Linked DNA regions of Cricetulus griseus. The protein of the gene in region 2 purifies or fractionates together with the protein of the main gene of each other region. This does not show direct contact. Links are inferred from orthologs where the notes say so. Each region holds a gene or a part of one and is shown on either strand. Other genes may lie near its edges.

The links.
Region 1: the proteins of Erlin2 (region 2) and Insig1 purify together in Homo sapiens (affinity purification with western blotting; 4 studies listed by BioGRID and IntAct, with this or other methods). This does not show direct contact. The link is inferred for Cricetulus griseus from reciprocal best matches to the Homo sapiens genes ERLIN2 and INSIG1.

Annotation. Positions count from the first base shown.
Region 1 is NC_048601.1:94,619,112-94,623,614, forward strand, and holds the start of Insig1 (insulin-induced gene 1 protein), read right to left. Parts: upstream 2,809-4,503; 5' UTR 2,735-2,808; coding exon 2,383-2,734; intron 574-2,382; coding exon 449-573; intron 1-448. UniProt on the Homo sapiens protein: Oxysterol-binding protein that mediates feedback control of cholesterol synthesis by controlling both endoplasmic reticulum to Golgi transport of SCAP and degradation of HMGCR.
Region 2 is NW_023276807.1:56,817,833-56,822,412, reverse strand, and holds the start of Erlin2 (erlin-2), read left to right. Parts: upstream 1-1,696; 5' UTR 1,697-1,823; exon of another isoform or gene 1,824-1,962; intron 1,963-1,999; exon of another isoform or gene 2,000-2,137; intron 2,138-2,943; 5' UTR 2,944-2,958; coding exon 2,959-3,065; intron 3,066-4,580. UniProt on the Homo sapiens protein: Component of the ERLIN1/ERLIN2 complex which mediates the endoplasmic reticulum-associated degradation (ERAD) of inositol 1,4,5-trisphosphate receptors (IP3Rs) such as ITPR1.

The DNA.
Region 1 (4,503 bases), on a different chromosome or scaffold from region 2:
CTTGACAATTATCTTTTACTTCAAGTCTCCTTAGAAACTTAGTATTTGAAGGGTTTACCATCAAATCAAACCATTTTCACAGAAAATGCAGACTGCACAAAAGCACAGCGCACTGAAGGCAGTGTGTCAGCTTTGGACACGAGAGGCCCAGGGGCCGCCTGACCCGCCTTGACTTCTATGACGGACAAGAGGAGCAAGCTCTCACTAATTCTCTTTCATTGGAACAGGCAGGTCAGTGGGGGAGAAACTAAGAGGGAGGATGGAAAGTCCTTTGAGAGTCCATCTGCTTCTTGTGTTAGCCTAAGTGTCCCAAGATGAGTAAAAGACCCTAGAAACTGGAACTGGATCCCAGAATTTCTCTAAGGTACAGGGATGAGGCAACATTTGGTCACAGTAACATCTGCCCTGCCACAACCCAGATGATAAACTGGACACCAACTGAGGATACGGCACTGGCGTGGTTGATGCCAACGAACACCGCAATACAGCGCATGACGCTGGCCCACTCTCTCTTGAACTTGTGTGGTTCTCCCAGGTGACTGTCAATACAGGGGTACAGTAGGCCGACAACAGCTATTTGAAGAAAAACAAAACAGGATTAGAAAACACTGGCTAACATTAGCCCTGTGTGGTCATTATTAATAGGATCTAAACCGATTACTTTCCTAGGCAGTTTATCACCTGTAGCACAGAGTGCTGTTGTGCGTATACCCTGTGGAAAAGGCTGTGGCAGGGCTATCTCGTATGGCTTCCTCTCAGTCTTGATCAGACCCCAGTGGGACAAGTCCAATACTGTGGGGAGGGCAGGGCAGGGCCCCAGGAAGGGAGCTCTGCTGTCAGTCCCAGGCTGCCCTCGGTGGCTGTGCCTCCTGTTTGTTCCCTCATGTGTGAAATGAGGGTTATGTAAGTAAAGTGGAGGCAGAGAAGAAAGAGGCTCATGTGTTCTGAGTTAGGAGCTGTCACAGACCCAGACCCCTAAACATTCGGACAGCCACAAGCCAGGCATTCCAGAATAGACCAAAAGAGCCAAAACCAGGAAGGGGCTGCCTGCAGTACAAGGAGAGCCCCCATGGGACACAAGGCACATGTGAGCTGCAGCTAAATTCAAGACCTTAGGCTGCCATTCGGACTTGTCAGTGGTGAGAAATGCAGCTCCAACCACACCTTCCGATAAGGAGAGGAACCACCTCAGGTACTCCTCAAAACTTCCATTACAAGCTTGATGTTCCAGATTTCAAATCCACATCTTGTTCCCCAAAGAACTCTGAAGTGCTGGGGTAATAGCTCAGTGGCAAATGATTTGCCTAATGTGTGTGAGGCCATTCCCAGCCCCAAATAAACAGTGTTCATAAAGTGGTAGAGTGCTTTGAAAACAGAGGGGACAACTTTCTTCCAATGGCTACATCAACCCTCCCGGCAGAAGCACACAACTGCCACAAAGCTGAACCCCATAATACTTACTGCAGGTGGGCCTGAGAGCAGCCTTGGGAATCAACAGCAGGTACGCTGCGTATTACATTTAACCCATGACTCAGTTACAGCACAACATCCAAGCCCAGCATATAAAGCCTATGCAGTCAGTCAATAAAAGCTGGCTTCAAAGCAGCTCCTGCTGTCCTGTGCCCACACCTCACCAGACTGGAGGAAAGATGCAACAGCGCTTAGACTGCCCACCTACATAGGCCAAACACAAGCAAGGCTGTGGGGTTGGTGGTGGGGGACACCTGACATGTTTTTTGAATAAATGCTGTGCATTGAGGGATATGCAGGGTTCTACTGGACTGTGACCATTCGACTGGTTTTTTGTTTTGTTTTGTTTTTGTAAAACCAGCAAAATGATTGAAAAAAAGAAAAAAAAAAAAAGACTAGCATTGTCACAAGTTTCACTGGACGTGAGAGGTGACACCATAGGTAGGTATGCTTGGGCCCAAAGGTTCCTGCTTTACTCCTGTCCCAAGTCTACTGGGCCACGGAGTTCCAGAGGGCTTGGCTGCTAGCCACAAAGCACTCACTATCAGCAGAAGGAAGTGTGGAGAAGTCTGTCCCCTGGCAACAGCCTCTTGCGCGCACGTGACGGTTTGTTTTCAGTTATTCAGCGGGGTAGCACGTTTGCTCGGGCAGCCAATGGCCGCCTGGTGCTTCACTCACCAGTTCTTCAGGCAGCCAATCCTCGCTTCTGGCTCCACGAGACTCCTCCACTTAAACTGCCAATTATCTCCTGACCTCATCTCCATCCCCAGTCCCTCTAACTTCCGCCTGTCGCTCGCTCGCCAGCGTCTGGGGCTTCCAACCCTCTCGTGTCCCCTTTCTTGTGCTCGGGGTGACAACAGCTGACGTGTCCCTGCCCCCGCCCCGACTCCAAGAACGAGGGAGGGCACTCACCGGCTGCCGTGCCACAGCACGGGGGCACCCACCAGGCGGAGGAGAAGATGGTGGCGATCACCTCGTCGGGGAAGAGCGTGACATTCCGCTGGATCTGCAGCAGGTTGAGCACCAGGGCCAGCACCACGCCGAAAGAGAAGAGCACGAGGCTCCGCTGCACCAGGTCGTGGTGCCAGCTGCCGGGCCGCGCGCCGCATCCTGCCGTTCCCGCTCGCGGGCTCCGGGGCGCGGGCTCCGGGGCTCCGGAGCCCTGCGGACAGCGGGCTGCCGCAATCATGCCTCGCGGGAGGCTGTGCGGCCTCGCGGCGCCGGAGCCCGAGCAGCTCCAGACGTGGTCGTGCAGCCTGGGCATCGGCTGCCAGGCGCACCGTGGGAGGAGCACGCCACGACACCGCACGTAGCGCGCCCGGACGGCCCAGGAGCGGCCGCGGCCCCGCGCGGGCTTCGCTTATAAGGCGGGCGGCCGGTGGCGTCACGTGACTCCGCCCAGCCTATCCGCCGCCCGCGCGCCCCGCTGTGGGGCGTGCCTTCCCGCGGCTCCGCCCCGCCCGCGCGCCTGTCCGCTCGCGGTCTGGTGAGGCGGCGGGAGCCAATGGGAGGAGGGCGGCCCATATGACGTGCGCACACGCCACCGGGGGGTGGGGCCGGTGCCCGGCACGCGCGCTCGGAGCGAGTGCTCGCCGCACGGGCCGGGCAGGACGTGGGACCGAAAGTCCGCCCTGCCCTTCCGTGCGCTGCGGGACCCCGGGCTCTGGAAGAATGCGGAAACGCACGGGCCCTCCCTTTCCCCAGGGTCCTGAGCGTAAACCCCTCCTACTGCTCAGAAGACCCGGGCTCCCCGGGGCCGGGCGGGGTGGCACCTGGCTGGCCGCAGGTGACAGGGGGGCAGTAGGTTCACAGCCCCGTCCAGAGCGCCCCTTAGCCAAGACCCCACGGGCTAAAGCCACAGGGCTTGTGAGCAGGCCTGAAAGGGCGCCGCGTGACCTTAGGTGAGACGCGTGGCTCGGTGGCAAAAGAGTCAGAGTCACCTTCCTAAGCAGGCTGTTTCCCAAAGTTGACGGGGGAGGTCAGTTTCCCAGCGTGACACCGCACACGGGTGTGGACGGCGCGGCTGCTCCCCTCGCCTTTCCCTCGCAACCCGTCCATCACCTTCTAAGCTGTATTGGCGGTTCTATGCGTTGTTCACAAGAACTCGAAGCAGCTTTGACTTCAAGGAATGTTGCAGATTGGGTATTGGCAGTTTTCCACACTCGGGCCTGTGCAAGCTTGTGAAGGTTGCACGGGCACGCACGCACACACACACACACACACACACACACACACGGGGGGGGGGTGAGTTTACAGCAACACGGGAGCCCTTTCAACAGCAAAAAGCAGGAGGGGCTGTCTAGCTTCAGCTGATAGAAAGTTGTTAATGGCAGTGAGTCTCTAACGTGGGATGTGCCAGGTGCAGCCTCTACCACCCATCATGGGCTGCAGGTCCTCTAGATGTTGAGAAAGCTGCACCTGTGTAAATACACACACCTTTGCTCCTAAGGAACAGATACATCCCTCACAGGAAACTTGGCCCTAAACAAGTCACTTTCAGGAAGCTAGCATGATGGAACCTCAGGCTGCAGCGCAGACCCTTCACCCACACCCTGGGACCATGCATCTGTCTGTGATTCCTGAGACACCCACCCACCCGCCCACCACCCACCCACCCACCCACATACACACACACACACACTCCAGTCCCTTTTTTCTCGGGCCATTTTGCTGGTCCTCACAGACTCCTCCAAGGATTCTTTCTGCCCCCTCCTCCTACTCCAAAGATTCTTTCTGTTGTTACAGCCCTTATGGGCAGGCCTGGAGCTTCTAATATTTTGTGGATTTTCGTCTTGCTTGCCTCTGGTGTGGAAAGGGACTAGTGATGTCCTCACACCGTTGCTCTGTTACCAACTGTTCACTTAGTTGCCTCTTGTGCTTACCCAAGCCAGTACTCAAGCAGCCCAACCTCTGCTGCTGCTTGGCCATGTCATCTGCCCTGGGGCAAAAGCAAGCTGTGGTCTAAACTACAAACCAAGGTGCCCCATGGACCATGGAGGATACTCACCCTGTGCTCTGGTTCCCTGGGGTCCC
Region 2 (4,580 bases):
AGGATGCTGCTGTGAACAAATGGATCCTTACCCACATGTGTGTTAAGAGGGAGAGCAGATGTTGTGGGGTGTAGTTCTAGAAATAGCAAAGGCAGGCCTCTGGGGACTCCAGGTCTCCTCAGAGGGTAAAGGCAAGAACACTTACCAATTCAGCCAACACAGACTTCAGACTAACCAGCCCCCTCCCCCTTCACCTATCAATGAGGCTGCTACGGCCCTAGATGGGACCTGCTGTTTAGCCTTAGTGAGTACTAACTAAGGTGGAGTGGCATTTGATAGAGAAAGCAACTTGAAACTGGAGATAGGGGATAGGATAGAGGTGAGGAAAGGGCCCTGTTGGGCTGTAATACCCTGGAAGCCCTTCCTGGGTTTTGGAGAATTCAGATGACCTCACATAGCTGAAGCAGGCTTTTGTTTTTAACGACAGAGAGATGCCTTCTCAAGCTGTGACCACACCCTCATCAGGGCACAGGACCCAGTCACTCCATGACCAGAGTTCAGGGGAATACAGATTCCATGCTTCAGGCTGGAGTTTGTACCTAAGAGTGGGCAAGGAGGGGATTCATTAGGGACAGAATGGGGAGTTAGCCCTTTCCCTCAGATAAGCTGTTTTTGAGACAACACGGTCTGTTGTCTGCTTTTGTAGCCACTGGGCATCTGGGGTTGGGGGCAGCTGCTTTTCTTCTGCAGTCCCCAAACATCTGGCTTCCCGGAACTTTGATTCGGTTTCAGGGCCTTGGCTTTGGGAGAGGTTCTTTCCAGAGTCCTAAAATCGTCTAACTTTGACAAGTGACCATCTGCTGTATGGAAAGGTTTTTGTTCATTTACTTAAAGCTAATATTAAAGTGGGCACTTTCTAATCTGCAAACAAAATGACTTTAGTGGCTGGTTCAGAAATTCCCTGCTAAGGAAGCAGCTTGGAGAAAGAGTGGGGCCACAAAGCGCTTGGTTCCACCCCCAGAACAAAATAGAAGAGAAGGCTCAATATGAAAGTCCCAATACCACGCTGCTGCGGGGTGAGAACACGTGAAGACCTTAGTCTAGGAAACATGAAGTCTGGTTCTCTTCCTGGTCCACTTTGTCCCTAGGTGCAGATGGCAGACACAAGCTCACCGTGGCAGGTGTTAACCAAGACAGGAAGCTCCGACTATTAAGAAAACGCAAAGGAAGTTTTCCATGACTGCTGTTGGCCTCACCCCTCACAAAATCAGATTCCGTCCATTAAAATCAGGGCAATAATTCCTTGTTAATCACTTTATGTTGCTGTGGGGACCTCGAGGCTAAACAAAGCTCTCAAAGTCTAAAGAGCAATTCAGTAGGGCTGTTGACTAGCGACGTCATAATCTGCACATTTGGAAGTTTTTTCATTTGGCTGGTGCGAGAGAAAAGCAGAGAAGAGGAGGAGAAGGCTGCATCGCTCTGGTACCTGCTCCGGAAAAAGAAAAACAGAAAGAAATCCAGCTCTCCCGGGATCGAAGGAGAGTATCTAAGCCATCTCCAAAGTCAGAACTTCGGAAGGTGATACCAGAGTCGTGGTGTCGGGAACCCACTTTCCCAGCGCTGGGCATCCTCAGACCTGCAATCCCAGGTCCGCCTGCAGCCACCGGGTCGTTTCGCGAGCGCCCCCTGGAGGCACCGCCGAGCACTGCCGTGCGAGGGGCGGGGCGGGCGGACAAACCCGGGGTAGGGGGAGGAGTTTTGCGCGGATTGATGGCATCATCGAAGCGACTGGTCCGGAAGGAAGTAGCGTGCTGAGGGGTGTGGCGGTTTCTGCGGTTGCACGGGGGTTCAGACGTGTACGGAGCGCCTGGAGGGACAGCCTGGTACGCAGCCCCCGCCCCTCAGTGCACGTTGGGCCTCGCTGCGGCGCGGGGATGGAGCTGATCCTGGCAGAGCTCCAGAGCTCTGGACCCCGCAGCCGCTCACTTTCAGTCCGCCCACCCGGGAGCAGAGAGAACCCCTGTGTGTCCAGTCTCCTGCCCACGGGTCCTTCAGCGGGTCCGAGCGGAAGCTCTCGGACGTGCCTGTCTCGTGGAGGAGGGCGGGGAAAGGGCGCGAGGTGGGGCGGGGTAGTGGTGGTGGTGAGGGCATTTGCAGAGAGGACGCTACTGTTGCTCGGCAGCTGGAGGCCGCCACGGTAAAAAAAAAAAATAAGTTAGATCTGAGCGTTGGAATCCGCGCCTTGTGCCAATGTGCCGGTCCGTCACCATGGTTTTTCCAGACGCTCGGTCGCATCTCGGTGCCTGAACGTTTGGGACCCTCCAGGAGCCCAGAGTACCCCAAGCTGAGGCACTCCCAGTTTCCTATAACCACCGCACTTGGGGGCAAAGGATATAGGAGAGTTCGGTTTCAGTTTTGTTTAGAGATCTGACCCGTTTAAGTCCAAGGGAATAACTGGGAAGATAGATGACAGGCCAGAGAATTCCTACCTCGGAACTCAACTGCCTGCTGTCTCTCTCCTCAGAGTCCCAAGGGAATAACTGATGGTTTCCTTCGAAATGGCAGGCAATTAGAAGTAGGAGGCTCTGTCCAGAAATACATAGCCGCAGCTGCCTGTCATTTGACATCCTCTGTAATTTGGGCCAACACACTGCAGCTGCCTCTCTTCCCTTACTTACAAGTGGCTCCAGTGACAACACATTAATGAGTAGTGAAGAGAAGGCTGTGTTTTGAACCCTGCCCAGTTGGCACCGGATCTCTGTTAGGTATGCCTAGGGAGCTAGTGCCTGTTCGCTGCAGTGGGCATTATACTCCCACAATTAAGGAACCGAATGTTGACCAAGAACAAGGATGATATGAGATGTAGATCTGGCTAGCATTGTGTTTCTACAACAGTCTGCTTGTGAATCACTTTCCATGAACTACAGCTTGGTGAGCTACTCTCAGTGCTTCGGCCTCTCTCCTACATGTCAAGCCATGCATTGTCCCCTCTCTTATCTCTAGGATACAGGTTCACTGATGGCTCAGTTGGGAGCAGTTGTGGCTGTGGCTTCCAGTTTCTTTTGTGCATCTCTCTTCTCTTCTGTGCACAAGATAGAAGAGGGACATATTGGAGTATATTACAGGTAAGGCAGAAACAGGTGGCTCCTCTCCCTTGTCACTGGCTAGCAGATCCTGCCAACATCTGTATATTTTGTTAAATAGGGGGGCCCTTTTCAGGTGGAGCTTCTAAGGCAGTGGCAATGGGTAAGGGTGTGTGTGTGTGTGTGTGTGTGTGTGTGTGTGTGTGTGTGTGTGTGTTTATTTAAATTTAAAATTGTCATTAGCATTTTTAAGGCAATGCCGATACTTATATTTATAGGATTACAGACAGAAGTCTCAAGGAATCACTACTCTCTCATGATCATTTCCGAGACACTGTTTTCCCTTGCATCCCTTGAAGAATCTTGTCTCCACACCGCCAGGCTACCCCTTCAGAAGTTGTGGAGCCCCAGTTCTTGATGGCAACTTGAGAAGTGTGCTCTGCTAATTTGAGAGACTGTTTTGTGTTGTTGTTGAGTTTGTTTTCCAGCCAGGGTTTCTCTGTGTGGTTCTGATTGTCACGGAACTCGCTCTGTAGATCAGGCTGGTCTCAAACTAAGAGATCCACCTGCCTCTGCTTCCTGAGTGCTGGGATTAAAGGTGTGTGTACCACCAGTCCTGGCCTGAGAGAATGTTTTAAAGTGAATATTTCAAGAAAGTATAAAGACTCTGCAGGCTGATTTATAGCAATCAAGGCAACTTTGGGAGAGTGACCCTTTAAATACTCTTGAGTTACTTTCTTTCCAGTGGCTTCTTCGACTAAGGTTTTCGTTTTAGGTTTAGAAGGGGCAATTTGCTAGGCTGATAGTTTTGCTTGTGGTGTCAAGGATTAAACTCATGTCACTCTACCACTGAACTACACCTCCAGCCTTTATCCACTGCCCCATTTTTGAGAGAGGGTCCCACTGTGTAGCTCTGGCTAGTCTGAAATGGTCTGTGTAGACCAGGTTGACTTGAACTCACAGAGATTTACCTGCCCAAGCTTCCCAAATACTAGGATTAAATGCAGGCATCGACATGTTCGGCTTGAGCCCTTCTTTTATATGGGTCTTATTTAGTGCTTGCTTATGGAACAGCAAGCTCCAGAATGCTCGTTGAGTTAGAATTGTAGCTCAGTGGAAGTGCTTCTGACTAGCATACTCAAGACCACTAATTAAAAAATAATAATAAAAAGGTTTAAACTTTTGTTGAGTTCCCACTTCCTCTTTAGTAATTTGTCTCTACCCTCTGCTTTCTTTTCCCCCAAAGCTTTTAATTTTGTCACTCATATACAGCTTGATTAGAAATATACATGTGTCAAAACATATATTGTATACTTAACATGTATTGAAGTGACTTTAAAATTATTCTTGAACCAAGTGTGGTGGCTCAACACCTGTAATTCCACCACTTGGGTGAGGGCTGAAGCAAGAAGGCTACTATAAGTTTTGGGTCATCCTGGGCTATATATAGCAAGTACTACAGAAATCAGGGCTATGTAGCAAAATCTGTCTCAAAAATAGTGAGATATCGTATGTGAGTCCCCAGATGCTTCTGAAACATGGTGTAGCTCATGACAA